Arabidopsis thaliana: one gene and its partners. The protein of the gene in region 3 interacts with the protein of the main gene of each other region in a pairwise test. Each region holds a gene or a part of one and is shown on either strand. Other genes may lie near its edges. The genes, in order: AGL52, WOX1 and NAC105.

What was found.
Region 1: the proteins of NAC105 (region 3) and AGL52 interact in a two-hybrid assay, tested with the Arabidopsis thaliana proteins (one large-scale study listed by BioGRID).
Region 2: the proteins of NAC105 (region 3) and WOX1 interact in a two-hybrid assay, tested with the Arabidopsis thaliana proteins (one large-scale study listed by BioGRID).

What each region holds. Positions count from the first base shown.
Region 1 is NC_003075.7:6,847,711-6,851,076, forward strand, and holds AGL52 (AGAMOUS-like 52), read left to right. Parts: upstream 1-1,867; coding exon 1,868-2,857; downstream 2,858-3,366. Other genes in the region: TOPP7 (Calcineurin-like metallo-phosphoesterase superfamily protein), read left to right, coding at 273-832, 1,009-1,221, 1,305-1,322.
Region 2 is NC_003074.8:6,160,233-6,165,476, forward strand, and holds WOX1 (WUSCHEL related homeobox 1), read right to left. Parts: upstream 3,222-5,244; 5' UTR 2,952-3,221; coding exon 2,816-2,951; intron 2,713-2,815; coding exon 2,350-2,712; intron 2,221-2,349; coding exon 2,159-2,220; intron 1,415-2,158; coding exon 923-1,414; 3' UTR 501-922; downstream 1-500. Other genes in the region: AT3G18020 (Pentatricopeptide repeat (PPR) superfamily protein), read left to right, coding at 5,217-5,244. UniProt on the Arabidopsis thaliana protein: Transcription factor which may be involved in developmental processes.
Region 3 is NC_003076.8:26,479,253-26,483,477, reverse strand, and holds NAC105 (NAC domain containing protein 105), read left to right. Parts: upstream 1-1,949; 5' UTR 1,950-2,230; coding exon 2,231-2,405; intron 2,406-2,697; coding exon 2,698-2,972; intron 2,973-3,044; coding exon 3,045-3,473; 3' UTR 3,474-3,712; downstream 3,713-4,225. Other genes in the region: AT5G66290 (uncharacterized protein), read left to right, coding at 4,037-4,072, 4,166-4,225. UniProt on the Arabidopsis thaliana protein: Transcription activator that binds to the secondary wall NAC binding element (SNBE), 5'-(T/A)NN(C/T)(T/C/G)TNNNNNNNA(A/C)GN(A/C/T)(A/T)-3', in the promoter of target genes.

The DNA of each region.
Region 1 (3,366 bases), on a different chromosome or scaffold from region 3:
AGTTAAATGCTCTGCCACTTTAAGTTAGTGTTTCTTGCGGAATTGTGAGTAGTGACCTCTTACTTTTGTGTCTTTGAGGAACCATGGTCCCTTAGCTCTGTTGCATAAGCAGTTGTTGGTATCTCGCTTGACTTATTACTTCATTTGATAGCTAATAGTTTTGTTTAGTTGCTGAATTTGGTGTATGATAGATATTAAACCCTTCTGTTGCTATCATAACTGTATGATTTGTAATTTTGTTGATGGTTTTAAGTTTATATGTTGATGAGCAGGAGATGTTCATGGTCAGTTTCCAGACCTCTTGCGGTTGTTTGAGTATGGTGGTTATCCACCAGCTGCGAACTACTTGTTTCTTGGGGATTATGTTGATCGTGGTAAGCAGAGCATAGAGACGATATGCCTTCTTCTTGCCTATAAGGTCAAATACAAGTTCAACTTCTTTCTTCTCAGAGGCAATCACGAATGTGCTTCAATCAACCGTGTATATGGATTCTACGATGAATGCAAAAGAAGATATAATGTTCGCTTATGGAAAACATTCACCGAGTGCTTCAACTGTCTGCCTGTTTCTGCTCTCATTGATGATAAGATCCTCTGCATGCATGGTGGACTATCGCCTGATATTAAGAGCTTAGATGACATCAGGAGAATTCCTCGTCCTATTGACGTTCCTGATCAGGGCATTCTTTGTGATTTGTTGTGGGCTGATCCTGACAGAGAGATTCAAGGCTGGGGGGAGAATGACAGAGGTGTCTCTTATACATTTGGGGCTGACAAAGTAGCTGAGTTCCTTCAAACTCATGACCTTGATCTTATATGCCGAGCTCATCAGGTAAAGCTAAAATTTATTCCTTGAGTTCTCTCTTTTGATTTCTCTGGATTGGTTTGTTCTTCTCTGTGACTGTTCTCTGAATTCAGAGGGTTAAGAAATCATAACTCAGTTGTTAATGCAAGGATCTGTAGTTTTTTCACCAAGCCAAGTTTTACTTAACTATACTGTTCCTGCAGGTTGTAGAAGATGGATACGAGTTCTTTGCAAAGAGACAACTAGTGACAATATTCTCTGCACCCAATTACTGTGGCGAGTTTGACAATGCTGGTGCATTGATGAGTGTTGATGATAGCTTAACATGTTCATTCCAAATCCTTAAGGCATCTGAGAAGAAAGGAAGATTTGGATTCAACAACAATGTTCCTAGACCAGGAACCCCACCTCATAAGGTGTGAAAATACTATCCCCCTGTATATAGATGCAATGTAGGTAGATGTTAGATATCAGGTTTGATATGTTAACATTCTTGCAGGGTGGAAAAGGTCGTTAACTCGTCGTCGATGGGTTCAAGAAACGAGTGAAACCGACGGGTTCGAATTTTGTAAGGCAAACAGTTTGTTTTGTTAGATTGTTATCTGTTTTCTTATGGTTGAGGCAACATTATGTTTTGTTTAGATTTTTTTTGTAAAAATTGTGGAAGATGTTCACAGCATTTTCAACTGAAGAAAGTTGGGTTTTATACAACTAACCTTTTAGAAACATATTCTAAAAACATAAACGTAAAATTTATAAAAATAATAAAATGAAACTTGAAAAACAATTATCTTATTTGACGTAATATATACTATAAGCTAAATAATAAGAGAAGAGGTAACCTAGATTTGAGGATAGATACTGCTTTTATCTTCTTCACGCGTCGCCGACGCGTATGCTTGTTCCCGTAGGCACCAAGGCAATCTATATAAACATATTGAGTGAAGTTTCACAATCTTTCACCATCAATTCCACAATTCTGCTTCTTCTTTGTGTGTTATCTCTCTGTCGGAGAAAAAAAAAACCCTAGTTTCTTGCTTGGCGAATCAAGGCAAAATCACGATGAAGCAAGCTTCTTCTTCTTCGTCATGTAATCCAACAAGTTTAACAAACAGACTTAAAACAATCTTTAAGAAAGCAGAAGAGCTTTCGATTCTCTGTGCTATTGACGTTTGCGTCATCTATTACGGACCAGACGGTGATCTGAGAACATGGCCTAAGGATAGAGAGACAGTGAAAAATATGGCTTTGAGGTATAAAGAGGACAGAAAACGCAAGAAGTGCCTCAATCTTCATGAGTTCCTCGAGAAAGAGAAGGTGAAGGACAAAGACAAGTATAAGGGGAAGACGAATTATGTGAAGAACCCTAATTGGTATCCAAACTTTGATCATTACTCTCCTCAACAACTCTCTCAATTGATTCAGTCCTTAGAACGAACACTTTCTACTCTCCAAAAAAGGCTTCGTATTGTTGAGTCGCAGAAAAAACAGAACACAAACTTGGTGCATCAGAGTTTAACACCATCGTATCTGAACCAGACACAACACTTGGATCCTAGCAAGTTCTCGCTGTATATGTACAACCATGGAGATGCTACTCTCTCACAACTCCCACTGTCTGCTTCACAATCCAATCAACTCATCAATTACCAGATGCAGCATGGTTTTGGTCAGAACATGTGTTTGGACAACATCACCAACAACAACAACTTTCAACATCCTGGCGTGTCAAACACACAAGACTACTCACCGTTACTTTCGGCGAATAACTACGGGTTGAATAATCACTTGATGCAGCAACAGGATCAGCTTCATGGTTTTGATCAGAACTTGTGTATGATGAGTGAAATCATCAATAACAACAACGGTTTACAACATCCTAATCTCTCAAACACTGTTCCACATGAATTCCCTTATGGTAACACTAGCTTCTCTCAAGATATGTTTTCGAGCTATGATGGGAGCAGTTTGCTACAGACATCTTCTCTGCCACCTCTCCACAACATTCCTAACAGCTATTGTTTTTCTGACAACTCAAGACTTCTCTGCTAACAAATCTGTCCAAAAGGATTTGTTTTTTGAAGCTTCATTAAGAGTCAGTCAATACTTATAAGTAGGAAGCTGATCAGAGAGAGATTGAAGCTGTTTTTGCTTCTGAATTCTTCCTGCTACTGTCTTTTTTTATTTTACAGTGTTGTTATAACTGTAAAACAGATCCATTTGTGGAGATTTTGTTTTTACTTTTAAGTTGGTATTTCAGTTAGTATTATATATATATATATATATATATATATGAACTTCCATAAAAGTCTTTCACAAAAACTTGCATGAAACAAATTATAATCTAAAATCACTTATGGTGACAAGACTGTTTCAATTGGTTGATACAACCTGCAAAGTGAAATCCTTTACTCTTGCATCTTATAACAAACTTGTAACTTAGTATCCTTCTTGTCTGAATCAGCTAATATATACATGAAGATGGAAAGTAGCTCTGATTTCGTGAAGACAAATTCTCTGCACCCAATTACTGTGGCGAGTTTGACAATGCTGGTGCATTG
Region 2 (5,244 bases), on a different chromosome or scaffold from region 3:
ATCTAATTCCTTTCATGCTTTCATCAAAAACCAAGCTTATCGAAGCTTTCAATTTAGTTTAAAATTTGTCAAAATGTTAAAATTCGTACGTAAGACATAGATGAATGAAAATTTAGCTAGTGTTTTATGGGAAATTTTTGTTTAAATAAATATTAATTGAATAATATGTTTTAAACTCTCATTCTTAAAAAATATAAAATTATCTCTTACTATAGGTAGAAGTAGAACCATGACCCGAATAGTCATTCAATTTTGAGGAATATACTGTATATATAATAGCAAATGTAAAGGCATATTGTTCGTATGCTAGTGAAGAGAAAAACAAAACAAGTGCCAAACCAATAATATTTTCCCACTCTCTTAGTCATTTCAACATCAACCCAATTCTTTTTGTCTCTCGCGCATTTATAACTCATAGAAACAGATCCCCACATACATACACACACACACATATATATATATATAGATCATGCATGTGTGTGTAGATATTCTTTAGAAATAACGCATGAAATTAAAGGAAAGATGTAGAGTAATAACGAGTTCCCATTCTCGTAACAGATTATCCCATCACCAAAGCACCAAATAGCTTCATTCACCAACCAAATCAAGCAAGTTTCATGATCTAAACCCTAAGTCACCACATCCACACAAATGAAAAAACTATTGGGAAAATCACATGTCTTTCTATTCTTTTCCTTTTTAAATTTGTTTGGTTCATTTTTAACAATTAAAGAAAGTGGTCCAAAGTGCATTTTAAGGCAAACCCTTATGAAATGTTAACATCAACACCATAAAGACACGCCTGCCCTTACTCCTAGACAAAACCCTAATTATCCTTTTTCACTCTCCCTAACTCGGTTGAATAATTAAACTAATCATCTAATAACAAAAAGCTGTTTTTCTTGAAAGACTTCAATTAGGTTTAGTTCTTCAATGGCAGAAACTCATAGAAACAGTGAATGCCACTAATGTTCTTGTCTTTCTCACCATCGCTACAAAACCCTTCTTTTCTCAGTGGAAACAGCTCAAGTGTCTGTTCTTGATGATCCAATTCACCGTTGGAGCAATCTTCATGTTGTTCTTGATCTTTATTATCATCACCATTTCGATGACAAGTCTCTGTGTTCGTTGCTTCTCTCGTACGTAGAAATACAGGTGAAACCGTGACCGTATCTTTAGAAGCAGAGACAGCATTGTTGCTGTTGGACATGTTGGAGGAAACAGTAGGTGAATTGAGAATGAGGTTACGTTGATGATGATGATGTGAAGAAGAGTAGAAACTAGGTGGCAACTGCATCATCTGCCACGTGGTGTTTATCCCTAAAAAGCTTCGTCTCTCGTCTCCTCCACAACGAGCATTGTGCTCCACCCGTATATTCGCTGGCTCCTCCAGATGATAATCACGGGAAGGTTTCTAATTATGCAAAAGAAAGAACATTCAAGATGTGTTGAAATTAGTCAAATTAGCATCGGAAAATGTAAAAATTGGTAACAAATAAGTCAAAATTTGGCAAAGCGACAAACTTTATGCTTAAAACAAAATTCCAGATAGGGACAGGGGTGAAGAAGAATGAGACCGTTAAAGACCAGGGTCAAAAGGGTCTTTTCAAGCATGTGTTTGGAGTGAAAAAGCACATTAATTTATGGAAATTCAGCAAAAACAAGAAGACACAGAGCTAAAGGATCGATCGTACGTAGCAGCTGTGCCGACAGAAAGGAAAGTCTCTGCAGCTTTTTGGATGAATTCAATAATCTTTTTAAAAAGATACTACTAATATTCAAACAAAATAAAACCATAATTATATGCTAAGAATATACGTATTTTTGCATATGCTACAAAAATACTTATTTTGAAGTTCCCCATAAATTAACTTCTTGGTCTTTTCCACCGCCTCATCTCTCTGCCTTTTGTTTTTTTCTTTCAATAACTTACCCAAACTTCCAAAAAGGAATTCACTTATTCTTAGCTAGCAGATTCTATTTGTAATCATATGCTAATTATATATGTAAACCCTCAATCCTTAATTACACTCCCTTTCATGTAATAGAAACCCCAAGACCATTATAAACACAGAATATGAGCAACATATATACATAATACATATCATAAAATAATATCAATTTAGAAACAAATATATGTATAAATAGAGATATATACCTCTGGTTGCGTGTCGCATCCGACCGAACATATCCAGTTCTTGACCTGTTCAACCTTGTAACCTGCAAAATTCCAGACATGAATTTTCAAACCGTCAATTTTGAAATGAAATCAACCCAAAAAGACATTCTAATCCAAAAAGACTTTTATTGTTTGAATGTTAATCCCCAAGTTCTGTTATGGTCCCTTACCTGGAGGATCTTTCTTGTCGAATCCGTGGTTTGAGACAAGACTTGCTGTTGAAAGGACCGTTTCTTCGTGGCCAGTTTCCATTTGTCGCCGTCGTTTCTGGCGTTCTCGGGCTTTGTGGTTTTGGAACCAATAGAAAACGTTTTTGCCTTCTATCTTCCCGTACCGTCGTAGCTGTGCGGTGATTTGTTGGATGTGGTCGGCAGAAGGAGTTCTAGTTCCTTGTCGGTAAAGCTCTTCAAGAACCCTTAACTGATCTGGTGTCGGATTCCACCGTGAGCTCACCATTACCGGTGGATGTTGAGGTTCTGAGTTTAGCATCATCAGCTCCCTCTTGTTCTGCTCCGCCGTCATCGTCACCACTGCTGTGAAAATCGTAACCAAAGCAAGAAAATGAGCATTAGAAACAAGGGAAAGAGAGACTGGAAAGTTTCACCAAAAATTGACGAGAGAGAGAGAAAGAGATACCCATATTAAAGCGGTGGTCGGAGTTGGTGTTTACGGCGGCGGTGGGGCAAGAAGTGAGACGTGGGATGAGAGGACGAAGCTTTCTTCCTCCGTTGAAGGAATCTGCGCCTCCTTCGTTGTAACCCATCGTCCACATTTTGGTGTGTACTTAATTTATATGTATGTTTATAGAGGAGAAGGGAGAGAGACAGCGATATAGCAAGTAAAAATATTAGGGCTTTGTTTGTTTTATCGAAACTGAGGAGATGTGAATGATATGGTTGAAGGAGTAATAGACAAATGGTAGAAAGTAGTTTTGGCTATTTTGGCTTATGGGTTTGGAGAAGAGTGATAAAGTTGAGAGATATCTTTGTATGTGAATGTGAGAATGGGAGCATGCAAATGGGGTGGTTTTGTAAGCACATATGTGTGTGTGTGTATATGTAGACAATTTAACACATCCTTTTATTTATTTCTAAATACAGAATATTAACATTCTACATATGAATAGAAAAGTTTATTTTATTTTATTTCCTTTTATTCCATTCACTTTAAAAATTCTCAACCGTCCTGCAAAATCATAAATATGTTTGTATAGAAAAGAAACATAACATTATATAATCCTTGATTAGTAAACGACCTATATATATAGTACTTTCCCATGATGAAATTTTATCATATCATACATTTGTAGGAAGCTATGGAATGTTTGTTTGCACAATACGATTAATGTAACATGTAGATTCATTTAACTAAAAAAAACATGTAGATTCATAGACATTAAGCTTAGATTGCATGATAAAAGCTTTCATGTACAATGTGTACCACTAGAATGCTAATCAAAACGTGATTACTCTGCGGATGATGTAAGTACTTTTAACCACTATACATAGAAACTGACATATAAATAGATTTTTAAAAAATTAACTTTCGTCCCAACCAAATATATGTCACAAAATTTTATACCCTAGCTAAAGCACGGTGATAAAACTATACACCTACCCTGAACACGTAATAAAGTACAGTGATGATAATTGACAAATCACTTTAAATTTGTTAAGCGAATTCAATAAATGCAGTGATCAGCTATATATGGAATTTCACTAAGCTACATAATTTTGGAATGATAAATAAAAGAATTGAAGCTAGGAAGATGAGGTTGACTAGTAAAAGAGGAGAGAGAGGATCGGAGGGGCGTGGAATTCTGGGGGGATATGATATGAATGATATGGGGAGATGCGAAGGAGCTTATAACGACGTGACATTCCTCCCATCTCTCCCCATCACTCCTTTTCTTTCATTCTTTTTTTCTTTTGGTTTCTTTCATTCATTTTTTATATATCCTATAGTATTAGATTAATATGTCTTTTTACGACGAATATGAGATCCCTAAATAAATATGTGTATGTATGTGTGTGTTGTGGCTTTCACTATTATTCTTGTTCTCAACTGCCCCATAGGCTTTGTCTCCTTTACACTCTTAACCTCTTCTCCTTTTGTCTCTCTCAAACAATTGCTTTTCCATAGATAAAACCCTTTTCCTTCTTTCTTCTCTTTGGGATCTTAAATCCCCCTTTTCTGTCTTTTCCCAAGCCCTAATCTAATCCTTTTGTTTTTTCTCCCTTTTTTGGAAAAAATTGTAAATATATTAATCCCTGAGTTTGAAAAAGATGTACCAAAAAATGATCTAATTTGCTTTTTATTTGTTCTCATGTTTATGTGATCAAACTATATATTTCCCTCATTTGTTTGAGATGTAGCGATGGATTCAAGGTGTAGGTATTATATAATGACATACATGAACAAAGTGATTATCTCAATTTTTATTTTGTGATATATCTTTCAAACTTAATAAATATGATTTTTTTTAGAAAAATCGATGAAATCTTATGTTTTTTCTTTCTTTCTGAAAAATGATAAAATCTCATAGTTTTTGAAATATGATTGGCTTACAACTGAATTGTGTATCACTTAATCAATCTTTCTATTTTTTGTTTTAAAGAAATTACGATAATCATTCATAATTTCATATGATCAAAATTATGGCTTTCTTCAAACGTCAAGTACTTTTTCTGAGTTGCAAGCTTGTTATCATACGTGATTTCGCACGCACTCTGAATCATTACGTTTCTTTTTAACAGAGATATTTTCAAGCATGATTTTTTTTCTTTTCACACTTTTATATTCTATTTATTAGGTAAATTCATAAGAATAAATGAAAGATTTTGGTGGAAAAATAATCACATTGAGTGAACTTAACTAATATACAAAATAAATATAAAAAATTGATTAAAAAGAACTCTGGGCTTATATAAATCAGACTTTGGCCCAATGAAATCGGATTAGGCCCAAACAAGCTATAAATGTCTTGTCGTATAAAAACCGGTTTTGAAAGAGAGAAACAGAGATTGCTACGAAAGTTATGTTCTTCGTCACTCGTCTGCGACTAC
Region 3 (4,225 bases):
AATCCTAGAATTGACGGGCTTGATTCGATATTAATATGGGATGGTGTACTACGGGTGATATTTTAGAATTGACTGGTTTGGGTTGATAATAATTTGCGATAGAATTAGGAGTGAAATCCTACGATGACAATTAAAATATAATTATACAATTAAATACTACCACGGGTGAAATTCTAGAATTGACGGGTTTGATTCGATATTAATATGGGATGGTGTACTACGGGTGAAATCCGAGAAACAACAATCAAAATACAATTATACAATATTAAACATTTAACAAAATAAACAAATACAACTTAAAACTTTAAAATTTGAGTTATAAAATTTCGTCTCGCGGTGAATTATACATTTAAATCAAACAATAGCATAAATTTATTAAATCATCCTAAAAATTATTCAATTATTTTTTATTTAATAAAAATATAGGCTCGCGGTATACCGCGGGTTAATATCTAGTCATAGATAGAAATGTTAAGCCGGGACAATTCCTTCTTAAATACCAAACAAAAAGTTTAAAATAAAAACGCATATATATATATCATCATTCTCAGATATTTATGAGCGGCTAAAGTCAAAACACTAAGACTAGAGGTTTTATTGATTTGGGGTTAGGAGTGTGTATAGAGTGAATGATTTTCAATCATGTAATCCCAATTCATAATGGTTGCATTGAAATTATTTTTGTTATATGCATAATTTAAAGAATAAGGAAATTGATATTAATTACTTCCTTTTCAAACCAGAGCATGATTAATAAATCACGTTTATTTGTCAATGCGCTGGTTCATATCTGATTTTTTACCACCGCCAAATTTGGAGTCCATTAACGTTTTTATTTTTTTATTTCTAGTAAATGTTAATTTGCTAAGACCCATTCAAACCCTTCGCTTCTTTGTTGCCCTCACCCTTCTACGTAAAGAACTTAACCGTTTAACCAATACTATTCGGCTACGTGTGTTCCACTTCACCTCTCTTTCCGAACATTCTTGGCATTGTTTTCAACAGCCGCGTTCAAAATGACAAATATAACCCTTTACTACTACCATTACTAGTCTACTGTACTACTAGTAGTTGACTCCCAAAGAATTACATAAAAACCATGCGCAAACGGAGGGGCTCCACAATTTTCCAATGTCCAATTCTCACAAAGTCAAGTCTAAAACTGTATACAGTATACATTCCTCTTTTATGACCCGATGACCTTTCAAACACATATGATCTCTTGCTTAAAGCATGCTTTATATAAGATCAATTGCATGTCTTTTTCATCTAAAAATCTTAATCTCTATTCATCTCTAACATCCTCTACATATATAACCTTTTGGTTTTGGCTGAAAAAAAGGCAGGAATTGTATCCAATTAACATTAAGTTATATACTTGATCGGGTCATCGCTTCACCAACGTAACTAGCTTTATAGGTAAAAATACATACATATCGTATTGTAGGCGTGAGATCAAGTGTGAGAGAGAAATATGTAGTTGTTTTGTCAAACACAGAGATCAGAGTGCTGACCCTAGAATTAACGACAAACAGACAAAACAAGTTTTACATCAGCACATTTGACACATAACGTCAGATTGTAATTGAAAATGTAGCACTACAACCGCGCGTACCATCGAGCTTCAGTATTTCCAATAGTCATTCTTTTCATAATTTGGAGTGTTTTAAATACATATATAAAGAGGAAACGAATATATGATATAAAATAAAGAATACAGGATTGTTGAAGGAGACATCATTTTGAGCATGAAGTAACACAAAAACAAAATGATGATAATCACAGCTTCTCTCTCCCGTTTCTCTCAAAACGGAGCCACCCACCTTTTTTTTTAATCTCCTTTTCATATGTCTCCATTCTAAGTTGTAACATAATCATTACTTCGTTTCATATATATATATATATATTAATTTGTAGATTCATATCTTCTAACATATATTTTTGTGTATCTTGTATATAAATGTGCATATATGTACAGAAAGAGTGATGGTGAATTACGCCAACGCGAAATGAACATATGATTACACTCTGAAGTCTAAACACACATGTCATCGTTCAAGTGGACGGTCCATATCTCTCTTTTCCTATACCTAACCAACATCTTCAATAAGACTCTCGTTCTATTGTTTTTCCCTTGATAGAGTCGGTTGATCGGGTTTCTTCTATGATCGATCTTTCTAAGATCAAGAAGAAACCGCAGCGAAATAAATCCTAGAAAATAACTATCAATATGATGAAGGTTGATCAAGATTATTCGTGTAGTATACCGCCTGGATTTAGGTTTCATCCGACAGATGAAGAACTTGTCGGATATTATCTCAAGAAGAAAATCGCCTCCCAGAGGATTGATCTCGACGTTATCAGAGAAATTGATCTTTACAAGATCGAACCATGGGATCTACAAGGTATATTATATATCTATCTCTCTCTATCTGTCTCTCTTATATCTTCTCGATACCAATGTTTATTCATGTGATCAATCGTTCATATAATATAATTGGTTCCGTCTTTTATATGTGCAATTTATGAATTATGTGCCCGAGTGACCCTACATATAAGGCTACATCTAGAGAGGTCAAGTTTTAGAAGTTAGGGTTAATTTATGAATTATGATTTAAACGATACCACCTACACATGTAAGCAACTATACTGTGTAGCTCGAAAGAGTAATATGTAACCTAAATGTGATACGTGTAGAGAGATGTAGGATAGGGTACGAGGAGCAAACGGAGTGGTATTTCTTCAGCCATAGAGACAAGAAGTATCCGACTGGGACTAGGACAAACCGAGCCACCGTGGCCGGTTTCTGGAAAGCAACGGGCCGGGACAAGGCGGTTTACCTCAACTCCAAACTTATCGGTATGAGAAAAACGCTTGTCTTTTACCGAGGTCGAGCGCCTAATGGCCAAAAGTCCGATTGGATCATTCACGAATACTACAGCCTCGAGTCACACCAGAACTCTCCTCCACAGGTAATTCGGAATCTTATTCACTTATAGCGCCACACATTCTGATTGATCTAGCTAGATTAAATGGTGAAGCAGGAAGAAGGATGGGTAGTGTGTAGAGCATTTAAGAAACGAACGACCATCCCAACAAAAAGGAGGCAACTTTGGGATCCGAACTGCTTATTCTACGACGACGCCACTCTCTTGGAACCTCTCGACAAGCGAGCCAGACATAATCCTGATTTTACCGCCACACCGTTCAAGCAAGAACTACTCTCCGAGGCCAGTCACGTCCAGGATGGAGATTTCGGATCTATGTACCTTCAATGCATCGATGATGATCAATTCTCCCAGCTTCCTCAGCTCGAGAGCCCCTCTCTTCCGTCGGAAATAACTCCCCATAGTACTACTTTTTCTGAGAACAGTAGCCGGAAAGATGACATGAGCTCCGAGAAGAGGATCACTGACTGGAGATATCTAGATAAGTTCGTGGCGTCTCAATTTTTGATGAGTGGAGAAGACTAAAAAAGGCTTTCCTATGCATGCATGCACTAGAAACGTCGTCGCATTTTGGATTTACATATATGGTCGTAATAATTCACCGAAGGAATTGATTTCGATGGATAAATAGAAGGTGAGAATCGAATAAGAAGATATATATAGGGCTTTACACTTACTCAGTTTGTTTCGTATAATGTATTAGTGACTCGAAAATATACGTTCAAATTACGGTGATTTATATTTTTATATATTTAATAAAGAAGTGGGCTCAAGGTGGGCCCAATAAAATGGGCTTTTGTCTACCATGCGTGGTGAAGCATGGCTTTGTGTTACTCATGCTTTGTCTCCTAGTCCTACCCATTGAATATCCAACGAGCTGGCGTTTTTTGTTTTAACACATTGTCGTCACTGGGGGTTTAAAACGGCACGCTGTTGTCTTGCACATGCGCGAAACGTCATATTGCGGTCTCCTCCTCCTTCTCCTTGGCGGAGTTGAGAAAACCTTGCTACGAGCGTTTCCAGATTTCTCCCAAAACGGAACTGCTGATTCCTTGAATAAAATTCCCTAATCGGAGTCTGTGAAGCAAATGGGAGCATCAGATTCAACTCTGCTAGGCTCTCAGGTAACTGATATATCGCGATTTGATTCTCCAGGCATCTTCCTGGGTCTATTATATATGCGAGATTGATTTATTCAATTTTTGATGGATTCTCAGGAAAATCGAGGTGATGTGATTACGACTATATCTCATCGATCAGAAATAGTCGATCCCATT